3 linked regions of the Rhinolophus ferrumequinum genome follow. The protein of the gene in region 1 purifies or fractionates together with the protein of each later gene. This does not show direct contact. Links are inferred from orthologs where the notes say so. Each region holds a gene or a part of one and is shown in the gene's direction. Other genes may lie near its edges. The genes, in order: IRF2, IRF2BP1 and IRF2BPL.

What was found.
Region 2: the proteins of IRF2 (region 1) and IRF2BP1 purify together in Homo sapiens (affinity purification with mass spectrometry; 4 studies listed by BioGRID and IntAct, counting the BioPlex papers as one, with this or other methods). This does not show direct contact. The link is inferred for Rhinolophus ferrumequinum from reciprocal best matches to the Homo sapiens genes IRF2 and IRF2BP1.
Region 3: the proteins of IRF2 (region 1) and IRF2BPL purify together in Homo sapiens (affinity purification with mass spectrometry; 3 studies listed by BioGRID and IntAct, counting the BioPlex papers as one, with this or other methods). This does not show direct contact. The link is inferred for Rhinolophus ferrumequinum from reciprocal best matches to the Homo sapiens genes IRF2 and IRF2BPL.

Annotation. Positions count from the first base shown.
Region 1 is NC_046287.1:77,251,593-77,255,333, forward strand, and holds the start of IRF2 (interferon regulatory factor 2), read left to right. Parts: upstream 1-1,426; 5' UTR 1,427-1,622; intron 1,623-2,939; exon of another isoform or gene 2,940-3,204; intron 3,205-3,741. UniProt on the Homo sapiens protein: Specifically binds to the upstream regulatory region of type I IFN and IFN-inducible MHC class I genes (the interferon consensus sequence (ICS)) and represses those genes. Also acts as an activator for several genes including H4 and IL7.
Region 2 is NC_046298.1:42,136,116-42,139,856, reverse strand, and holds the start of IRF2BP1 (interferon regulatory factor 2-binding protein 1), read left to right. Parts: upstream 1-1,370; 5' UTR 1,371-1,745; coding exon 1,746-3,506; 3' UTR 3,507-3,741. UniProt on the Homo sapiens protein: Acts as a transcriptional corepressor in a IRF2-dependent manner; this repression is not mediated by histone deacetylase activities. May act as an E3 ligase towards JDP2, enhancing its polyubiquitination. Represses ATF2-dependent transcriptional activation.
Region 3 is NC_046289.1:22,046,506-22,050,246, forward strand, and holds the start of IRF2BPL (probable E3 ubiquitin-protein ligase IRF2BPL), read left to right. Parts: upstream 1-1,531; 5' UTR 1,532-1,668; coding exon 1,669-3,741. UniProt on the Homo sapiens protein: Probable E3 ubiquitin protein ligase involved in the proteasome-mediated ubiquitin-dependent degradation of target proteins. Through the degradation of CTNNB1, functions downstream of FOXF2 to negatively regulate the Wnt signaling pathway.

The DNA of each region.
Region 1 (3,741 bases):
AGGATAAGAAATGTATGTGAGAGCTACTGCTGAGACCACCACAAAACAGAATCCTTAACTCTCACCTGTCTCCTCATTGCATCTGCATATTTGGGTACTTCTCTTTTTCCAGTCCATAGAATTCAATACTTTTGTGACAAAGAGGGATGTTGGAGTTGATTTTAAAGACATGTTTACATATAAATAGCTATGGCATCTCAGGAAAGGACTTCCTCTGGATAGAAAAGTTTGGGTAGAGAAGTCTGATAAAGGCGCAAGTGAGGGAAAGAAACAGGTAAAATTAGATGCGGGAGTTTATGGTTTTAAAGTAAAGGAGCAAAAACCCAGTAGGTCCCAAGTGAATTGTATTAGTTTGGGCTAAGATACCTTAAGGTGACAGGCACTGTACCTGTATTCGTGCATTCTTTCATTTATCCCCATTTCACAGCATTGAAAACTGAGCCTTTAGGTTAAGCAACTTGCCCAAGGATGCCCAACTAGTACCTTAAGGAAGCCAATTTGAACCTAGCTGGAAGTACTACAGTATAAAGTCTCTCTTCTGTACCAGCCATGACCAAGACATCTTTAATTAAAATTCTCACATCTCATCCTGCAATAAGGTAACTTATGTTGCACAGGCGATGTCAGTCTTGGAGTGTGCAGCTATTGAGTTACCAGGGAAAGGCCTTCCTTATCGCCCTAGGTGGAAAACTGAGCGCCAGGTGGTGGTAGAGATGGCAGCAGCTCCTCAAAGGGTTACACCCTCAATTATGATAAGGTTTCAAATAAGATTCAGGAAGCCAGTCACTTGACCCGGTTCTTGCATTAATATCTAAGTCTTGTCGGTTAATTGTTCCTTTTGTTACTCTTAAGTGGGTAGTGTTACAGAGTGAATTTTTATGCACTCTGAAAACAGCGGTGCTAAACACCAGTTACACCTGCCCCACCAACTAGATAGCAACAACCCTTTGCTTCCCCGGAAGCCCTCGTCCTCCCTCCTTCCCAACCTTCAGACAACCCTTAGGATGCTTCCCTCTCCTAGAGCCACTAGCTTCTGGCCTGAACCCAAGTTTGCGCCCTGTCACCTCCGGACCCCACCCCCCACTCGAGTGTTCGAGCGGCGAGTGTGAGCGCGCCGGTGTGCGAACCACAGACTCACGAGCAGCCGCTTGTTGCTCCCGCTGCCGTGACATGGGGAAGTGAAAATGAAATTGACTTTTCGAGAAATGATGAAAGCCGCGCAGCCTGCCAATGAACAGCGGCGGCGAACTTCCGCACCTCGCGGCGGGGCGGCTCGCCCTCCCTCCGCCTCCACCTCCTGGTTGCACAAGCTTGAAACAAACACTGGGGAGGAAGGGCGGACTGAGGAGGGCGGAGAGTGGAGGCGAGGGAGGGAGCAAAGGAGGGAGGGAGGCAGGCAGGGAGGAGGGCGGGGGGTGGGGGGATTTCCAGCCTCGGCTCTTCGCAGTTTCCTCTCCTTGTTTTGCTTTCGATCTGGACTGTTCTCAGGCAAGCCGGGGAGTAACTTTTAGTTTTGCTCCTGCGATTATTCAACTGACGGGCTTTCATTTCCATTTCATACACCCTAGCAACACTTAAACCTTGCGGAATTGTATTGGTAGCGTGACAAAGCACCCTGAGAGGTAACATTTTTCAAATAATAGTTGTGACTGTGCGTGTGTGTGTTTCTGGAGGGCATGTTTATGAGACCTGGAGGGGCTATGTGTGTGGGTGTCCTGATGTTTTGACACGATGTTTTGCAGACTACGAATGCTGGGGTTCATAAATATTAATACCGATTTTCGGAGGAACAGTAGGCGCTGTTATGGATCATCTGATTTTAGGGGAGACAGGTTCTGCTGCTGTTGCTGCTGCTACTGGGTCCGCTGAGGCTGCGAGGAGGAGGAGGAGGAGGTAGGGAGGGAGGAGGAGGAGGAGGAGGTCGGTGGAGGTTTAATTTCACTTTTGGATTTGCAGATGCAGAAAGGTTGCTCCATGGACACAGACCTGCTCTGTGTGATTCTGCGCCCCAGGTGTTGTGTGTGTGTTCGTGGGGGGTGGTACTGGTCCGCTGGACTCGGGCCTCCTTTTACAACAGAATTACCGTGTACGAGTGTGTGCGTGTGCGTGTTAACAGACGCCGTCGCCTCCAGGTCCGAAGCAGGGGAGCAGGTCCTTCTCGGTGCCCGGCAGCGGCGCCTCGCTGCAGGCAGCCTCCAGTGTAAATAAGCAGGAACCCGCCGGCTGCCCGGCTGCCTGCGCTCTGAGCCCTGGAGGGAGAGGCACCTCCCGCCGCGGTCAAAGGAAACTTGATGGGAGGCCCGGGGCAGTCTCAGGGTTCGCCCGCACGCCGAGCTCGGGGAAGGGTCGGGGGCGTCGGGTGCCAGCGGCCCGAGCGGGCGGCCGGGCGCGGAGCGGGGCTGGGCGCCGGGCCTCGCCGGCGCGCCCGGCTTCCTGGGGGCTGGGCCACCGCTGCCGCCGCTCGGGAGGGACACCGCGCCCTCCTTCCCGCCGGCCAGCGCCCAGCCTGGCCCTGGGGCTTTGTCACTGCACTTGTCCCGGAGCGCGGGGGGCTCGGGTGGTGCGTCCCGGGAGGGCGCCGCGCCTAGCGGTCAACTGCTCGGGCGCGGCCTAGCGCCAGGCGCGTCCGGGTCCCTGCAGGCGCCCCCAGGCCGGCCTCGCGCGCTGGGCCTGACCCGCCTCGGCTACGGAGCGGGCGAGGTGGGGGCGGGGAGCCTCCGGGGACCGAGCGGCGCCCTGCTGGCAGGCTCGGGGGACCAGCGTCCCCCTGGGTAACCTGGGGCACAGGCCGCGGCGGGGTGCGGACGTGAGTGCCCGCCCCGCGCCCTTCGACCCCGTTCTGGGCGCCCGAGTGGCATTCGGCCGCCGGCCGAACATGGTTGGTGCAAAGCCGCGGCCGCCACTTCCTTTCCGCCTAATCGGCGGGGCTCGCCCACCGAGCGCTGCCCGCCGCGGCCAATCGTGGCGCCCGCCAGCCCTCGGCTGCTCTCCGTGCCAGGGCCTGGGGGCCTTTCCAAGTTCGGAGGGCTTCTGGATGTGACTTGTCCCCTTCCCCTGGACGCACCGGTATCTCTCTTTGGCTCTAGGTCTTGGTGCGTTTGCCGCCTTCACCTCCTTGCCCCATTAGAGGGAAGAAGGGAAGGAAGGAGGCTGGCAGCCCGAGCCGGGCGCAATGACAGTATTCCGGGCCAGTCAGTATTCCAGGTGAGGCTCCCAGGTCAGTAGCTGTAAGCAGGACCCTTGTTCATCAGTTGTAAATGTCACCCCTGGGACTGGCTTTAGAGGTTGCCACCTATTAGCGGCTTGGCTTTCACTCGTTTTTTAACCCCATAGTACAGAGTTTGGAACTTGGGGACATTTTACTCGCTCCTTCCGTCTTCAGTCTCCTCCCTCCAGTATGGGTAGTAGGTAGGGCTCCTTGTCCTTGGTTAGGGAATGAGAAAACGCAGAGCCTTTCTATATGAGGATAAATGCTGACATTTGCCTTCTGCCACTGGCCTCCCTGTTGCTGTGACTCGGTCTGCTTTTGATGAATGGCTAGGGAAGGTGGAGGATAGTTACATTTCATGTTGTGGATTTTCAGGAATCAACCAAGGTTGCTGTCAAGCCTGCAGTCATTTATAACTTTTCAGACCGATTTCAAATACCATTGGAACTTAGCAACCTGCAGTTTTTTGGTGCTCCAGGACAGGTGTAGACAGGGGTCTGGAGACAGACGGAGTACCGAAGGTGGATGGTCTT
Region 2 (3,741 bases), on another chromosome or scaffold:
CTCCCCTAATTTTGTGAAAATGTAGCTAGTATACATACAACCCATGATTGTACACATTGCTTAGGATGAGGCAAAAGTTGATAATTTTTTTTCACAGGATGTTAAAAACATACAGGTGGGTAACAAAATCAGCTGCTATGGTTGCAGTGTGATGGAGGAGAGGTGAGTAGGCAGCACCTGATTAGTTTGAAAAACACTAATGCAATTCTGACAAGATAAGTATTTCCTAACACGGGCCCAGGCTTAGGAAGACGCTGATGTGGGTTAGAACTTGAAGACCTGTCTTTCCGGCCCCAGCCCACCTTGCACTGGACCAGACACAGGAAGGAAAAAACATGATGGTCTCCGGAGCCTGGTTGGGCCTATCAGGTAGTAAGCACTCAAGGTTGGAGAAAGGTGGTCTGGAGCTTGCTATCTTACAGAAATGATCCCCACCTCAATTCTTGCCATCTTTGGCCTCCTTCCCTTCCCCCAAATTAGGGAGCAGTAGAGGGTGGGGATCCCCTCAACTCCGTGCTCGAAAAACACGGAAAGAGCCCCCAAAAAACCGGCGTAGGGGTCGGGAGTAGGACTGGCAGCGGGAACTGGGGAGCACCCCCCCCCAACCTCCCAGGCAGCGGAAGTGCGTCAGTTTGTCCGCCCCATAGAGCATTTTGGGAATTGTAGTGAAGTTAGGGGGCGGAGAAACTGGCAATGTAACCCTTTGGATACCAGAGCGCGCCCACAAAGCTGGAACAGTTGAGGGGCGCTCGACTACTCCCTTTAGCAGATGAGGCAACTGAGGCAGAGGCTTGGCGCAGAGGTCTTCAGTCCTCTCTTTTCTCTGGCTATTGCCGGCCCGGGTCAGAGTCTGATACCCAAGATTCTAGGGAAGATGTAGTTACAAGTAAACCTTCACCACCATCACCAAGTTGCCAGCTTCCCGTCCCCTATCCAGAAACCATCCAATCAGGGTTCCTCCGCTCCGCCGCAGGAGCGGCTGCCTTCCTAACCAGTCACTGGCCTACTTTTAATGGGCGGGGAACTGAACCTCAGAGTGGGCAATATTTTTGCTTAAAGCTGCGCAGCAAGTGGGAGCAGAAACTGGGCGCGCGGAAGCCTGTCCATCCCATACAATTTCTGAAACCGTGGTAGTTCCTGCCCCCAACCCTTGTGTCCGAACTCCACGGAACGCGTCGAACTCCCTGCTTTTGGCGAGGATCGGTAAGCGTTGCCCTGCAGAGAAGCGGCGAGCCCCTCCCACCTCCCCCGCCCCTGGCTGCCTGCTGGCGGTCCCCTTTAAGAACCGGCCCCGGCGGGACTACGTTTCCCAGAAGGCTTTGCCGGCGCGTTATGTAACTTTCCCTGCGAAGCGGCCTCTGGGGCAGAAGGAGGTGGAGGCGGTGGCGGCCGTTGCAGCAGCAGCGGCGGCGGCGGCGGCGCGGCGGCGGGAGCGGCGGGAGCCGGAGGCGGCGGCGCCTGCGGCCCATCGCTGGGCCCGACCTGTGAGCCTCGGCCTAGAGCCTGGACCTGGCGGGGGCGCCGACGTGCCTCTGCCTGCCTTTTCAAGGAGGCGGGAGTGAGGGAAAAAGGCTTAGGGCCCAGGGGGCGGGGAAGGGGGGCCGGGCCTGGATCGGCGGGGAGGCCGAGCCGGAGGCCCGACCGTGGCTCGCGCTGTCCTGGGGACACAAATCGAACGTTGACGGCGCGGATCGAACGTCGGCGGCGGGTGGAAAGCTGTGCCCGGCAGCGCGCGCGCGGGGGCCATGGCGTCGGTGCAGGCGTCCCGCCGCCAGTGGTGCTACCTGTGCGACCTGCCCAAGATGCCGTGGGCCATGGTGTGGGACTTCAGCGAGGCCGTGTGTCGCGGCTGCGTGAACTTTGAGGGCGCGGATCGCATCGAGCTACTCATCGACGCTGCCCGCCAGCTCAAGCGCAGCCACGTGCTCCCTGAGGGCCGCTCGCCTGGGCCTCCGGCCCTCAAGCACCCGGCCACCAAGGACCTTGCTGCGGCCGCCGCACAGGGGCCCCAGCTGCCGCCTCCGCAGGCACAGCCCCAGCCGTCGGGGACTGGCGGCGGCGTCTCGGGACAGGACCGCTATGACAGGGCCACATCATCGGGCCGCCTCCCCCTGCCCTCGCCTGCTCTGGAGTACACCCTGGGGTCCCGCCTGGCCAATGGACTGGGCCGTGAGGACGTCGTGGCGGAGGGGGCTCGAAGGGCCCTGCTTGGCTCCATGCCCGGCTTGGTGCCCCCCGGGCTGCTGGCAGCTGCGGTGTCTGGCCTGGGAAGCCGGGGTCTGACGCTGGCACCCGGCTTGAGTCCTGCCCGTCCAATCTTCGGCTCCGATTTCGAGAAGGAGAAGCAGCAGAGGAATGCAGACTGTCTGGCAGAACTGAACGAAGCCATGCGGGGCAGGGCGGAGGAGTGGCACGGACGCCCCAAAGCAGTGCGGGAACAGCTGCTGGCGCTGTCTGCCTGCGCCCCCTTCAATGTCCGCTTCAAGAAGGATCACGGGCTGGTGGGGAGGGTATTTGCCTTCGATGCCACTGCTCGCCCACCAGGCTATGAGTTTGAGCTGAAGCTCTTCACCGAATATCCCTGTGGTTCTGGCAACGTGTACGCAGGAGTCCTGGCCGTAGCACGCCAGATGTTTCATGATGCTCTGCGGGAGCCTGGCAAGGCGCTGGCCTCCTCGGGCTTCAAGTACCTCGAATATGAACGCCGGCACGGCTCTGGGGAATGGCGCCAGTTGGGGGAGCTGCTAACCGATGGTGTCCGCACCTTCCGAGAGCCAGCTCCCGCCGAGGCCCTGCCCCAGCAGTACCCAGAGCCAACTCCTGCAGCTCTGTGTGGCCCACCCCCGCGAGCCCCATCCCGCAACCTGGCGCCCACAGCACGCCGTCGCAAGGCATCCCCTGAGCCTGAGGGCGAGGCAGCTGGGAAGATGACCACCGAGGAGCAGCAGCAGCAGCAACGACACTGGGTGGCTCCCGGTGGTCCGTACTCCGCTGAGACCCCTGGTGTGCCCTCACCCATCGCCGCACTGAAGAATGTGGCCGAGGCCCTGGGCCACTCTCCCAAGGACCCTGGCGGGGGCGGGGGCCCAGGGCGTGCGGGGGGTGCCAGCCCAGCAGCCTCTTCCACAGCCCAGCCTGCAGCCCAGCATCGCCTAGTGGCCCGCAATGGGGAGGCCGAAGTCAGCCCCACCGCAGGGGCGGAAGCTGTTAGCGGAGGTGGTAGCGGCACCGGGGCGACCCCTGGGGCACCCCTGTGCTGTACCCTATGCCGGGAGCGTCTGGAAGACACCCACTTCGTCCAGTGCCCCTCGGTGCCCGGACACAAGTTCTGCTTTCCCTGCTCACGAGAGTTCATAAAAGCGCAGGGCCCCGCTGGCGAGGTGTACTGCCCCAGTGGAGACAAGTGCCCACTGGTGGGCTCCTCTGTCCCCTGGGCCTTCATGCAGGGTGAGATCGCCACCATCCTTGCTGGAGACATCAAGGTTAAGAAAGAACGGGACCCCTAGGCCACTACTGCTCCCTGCCCCCTTGCCACCCACCGCTGCTGTGGATAAGTTATTCCCTTCCCCACCCAGCCCAGTGCCACCCCCACCTGTGTACATACCCCCTTCCTCATCCCAGATGGGTCCCCTGGGGTAGATGCATTGAGGGTGGGGGGGAGTTCGTGGCTTCTGTGTGAGGAAGTTTGGGGGTCCCTTGGCCCCTCCAATTTCTCTCCTCTCCTTGGCTTGGCTTTGCTGC
Region 3 (3,741 bases), on another chromosome or scaffold:
CTCCAGCACTTCCCCTCCCTGCCCCCAACTGCAGCTGTGCGCAGCCAGTTGACTGTTTTTCCTTAAAGGCCTCTGGGTGCTCGTAGCTTCTTTAGACACTCAGCCAAAATTTTTAGACTGAGGCTGGGGGGAGAGGGTAACTCACCCCGAATTCATTTTGGCTCCATCGCTTAAGCTCAGGTTCTAGACCAGGGCACAAAACAAATCGGAAAGGCAGTTTCTGGAAGATTGGAAAACAGCTAATTTTGCAGGTGCTTCAGCATTAGTGGTAGCAATGAATGTAAATCCATACTGGGGGAAACGGTTTGACTGCAGATGAAACGGGTAATACCCTATATGAAATTCACAGCGAAAATTTGAAACAGGGCATTTAAATTCACTGCCCGAGGTGGGGTGGGGTGGGGGAGGAAGCGGGATCAGAAAGGACGCTGGTGGTTTTTAAATGCGTTTTTACTTGGGAAAGCCGGGCGGGGAAAGTAAAGGTCATCGTCTGTTTAATTTCCACCCCCAGCGCTGGACTTCCAGCATTAGCTCGGAAGGCCTCAGCTGTTGTACACACTCGGCGAGGGGGGAGGGGAGGGCGGAGGCGGGGAGGAGGGGCCCACCGAGAGGAATCTGGGCATCCAGCCGCGCATGCGCCTTTTCCGAGCAACAAGTGGGCTCTACAGAGGAAGTGTAAAAGCCGAGGGTGGGGGGGAGAGCTGGTGCAGAGCATGGCGGTGACGTCAGCGCTCCGCCCGGGCGGCATCCCGCGCGGCCAAGCCGGGGACAGCGCGAGCCGCAGCGCGAGCGGGAGCGCCGAGACGCGCCTCCGGAACGTAGAGTAACAATCACAACCCCACATTCCGGGCGAGTGCGAGCGGGAAGGGATGCGACCCGGGCCCAGGCGCCGCGTGAGCGCCCTGCAGCCAACGTGAGCGCCGCCAGCCGGTGCGGCCCGGGTGCCGGCCAGGCCTGGGGGCGGCGGGAGCCTGCGTGCGTGCGCTCTTCTCTGCTCTCGTGCGTCCTGGAAGCAGTGGCCGCGGTGGCTCCCTCCGGCCGTGCAAACCCAGCCGCCGCCAGCGGAACAGCCGACGCAGCGGAGGAGAGAAGCTCCTCTCTCGGCTCCCCCTCCCTACCCCAGCCCTGGGAAGCAGCGATTTCAGCAAGATTGGACCTGGGCACCGGGTGGCACTGCACCCTCTAGCCCTCGCCCCAGGGAGCCTGGCGGGGAGAGGACGCAGCTCGTAGGGGGACCCCCAGGGGAGAGGAAGAGACAGCCCCTTTCGAGCTTCCACGCACCAGCCTCTCCGGGGAGGGGGCCAAGAGCCAACGGCGGTCAGTACCCGGCACCCTCGCCCCCTCCCCCCGGTCCTGGAGCCTCCAGCCCGGGTCCGGGGCACCAGGAAGAAGGCGCCTGAGCTCCCCTCCCGACGAGACAGCCGCAGTAGGAGGTGGGGGCGAGGAGCGGGCTGAATTCGGCCGGTGGAGCCCCCGCAGAGAGGCGCAGCGCCGGCGGTGGAGACTCGCGCTCTCCCTCCAGCCCCTGGGGCAGAACTTTCTCGCCCCCCCCACACCCCCCCGCTTCCCCCGCTGCCGGACTCCCTCCCCAGCCTGCTGGTCCTCCCAGAGGAGAAGGCGCCGCGGAGACAGCCCGGGCGGGGGCCTACCTTTCTCAGGGCTGGCAACATGTCGGCGGCGCAGGTGTCCTCGTCCCGGAGACAATCCTGCTACCTGTGCGACCTGCCCCGTATGCCCTGGGCCATGATCTGGGACTTCTCGGAACCCGTATGCCGCGGTTGCGTCAACTACGAGGGCGCCGATCGCATTGAGTTCGTGATCGAGACCGCGCGCCAGCTGAAACGGGCGCATGGTTGCTTCCAGGACGGCCGCTCCCCCGGGCCGCCGCCGCCCGTCGGGGTCAAGACGGTGGCCCTGTCGGCTAAGGAGGCGGCGGCGGCGGCAGCAGCGGCGGCGGCGGCGGCCGCGCAGCAGCAACAGCAGCAACAGCAACAGCAACAGCAGTCGCAGCAACAACAGCTTAACCACGTCGATGGTTCTAGCAAGCCTGCGGTGCTGGCAGCCCCGTCCGGCCTGGAGCGCTACGGCCTCAGCGCAGCCGCCGCTGCCGCCGCCGCCGCCGCGGTGGAACAGCGCAGCCGCTTCGAGTATCCGCCACCGCCGGTGAGCTTGGGAAGCAGCAGCCACGCCGCGCGGCTGCCCAACGGCCTGGGGGGCCCCAACGGCTTCCCCAAGTCGGCACCGGAGGAGGGACCTCCGGAGCTGAACCGCCAGAGCCCCAACTCGTCCTCGGCGTCGGCGTCGTCTCGGCGCGGGACGCACGGTGGGCTAGTGACGGGGCTGCCCAACCCGGGGGGTGGCGGAGGCCCCCAACTCACGGTTCCCCCCAATTTGCTGCCGCAGACGCTGCTTAACGGCCCGGCCAGCGCCGCCGTGCTGCCCCCACCACCACCCCACGGCCTCGGCAGCCGTGGGCCCCCGACGCCCGCGCCCCCAGGGGCCCCCGGGGGCCCCGCTTGTCTCGGGGGCGCGCCGGGCGTATCCGCCGCGTCGTCTTCGGCATCGTCTTCGACCTCGTCGTCGGTGGCCGAGGTGGGCGTGGGTGCTGGCGGCAAAAGGCCCGGCTCGGTGTCGAGCACCGACCAAGAGCGTGAGCTGAAGGAGAAGCAGCGTAACGCCGAGGCCCTGGCGGAGCTGAGCGAGAGCCTGCGCAATCGCGCGGAGGAGTGGGCAAACAAGCCCAAGATGGTCCGCGACACGCTGCTCACGCTGGCTGGCTGCACACCCTACGAGGTTCGCTTCAAGAAGGACCACTCGCTGCTGGGCCGCGTCTTCGCCTTCGACGCTGTCTCCAAGCCCGGCATGGACTACGAATTGAAGCTATTCATTGAGTATCCCACGGGCTCGGGCAACGTGTACTCCAGCGCATCTGGGGTGGCCAAGCAGATGTACCAGGACTGTATGAAGGACTTCGGTCGGGGTCTATCCTCCGGCTTCAAGTATCTGGAGTACGAGAAGAAACACGGTTCCGGGGACTGGCGCCTCCTTGGAGACCTGCTGCCCGAGGCCGTGCGCTTCTTTAAGGAGGGCGTGCCCGGCGCCGACATGCTGCCCCAGCCCTACCTGGACGCCAGCTGCCCCATGCTGCCCACGGCGCTGGTGAGTCTAAGCCGCGCCCCCAGTGCACCCCCGGGGACGGGGGCCCTGCCGCCCGCCACCCCTTCGGGTCGGGGCACAGCCGCCAACCTGCGCAAGAGGAAGGCGTCCCCCGAGCCTCCGGACTCCGCCGAGGGCGCGCTGAAGCTGGGCGAGGAGCAGCAGAGGCAGCAGTGGATGGCGAACCAGAGCGAGGCACTAAAGCTCACCATGTCGGCCGGGGGCTTTGCGGCGCCAGGGCATGCGGCCGGCGGTCCGCCTCCGCCGCCCCCACCCATGGGACCCCATTCCAATCGGACCACCCCGCCTGAGTCGGCCCCTCAGAACGGTCCATCCCCCATGGCCGCCCTCATGTCGGTGGCAGACACTCTGGGCACCGCGCACTCGCCCAAGGATGGCAGTTCTGTGCACTCCACCACTGCGTCCGCGCGGCGTAACAGCAGCAGCCCAGTGTCGCCGGCTTCTGTGCCCGGGCAGCGCCGTTTGGCCTCACGGAACGGGGACCTGAATCTGCAGGTGGCGCCCCCGCCACCTAGCACCCATCCGGGCATGGACCAAGTGCACCCCCAAAACATTCCGGATTCC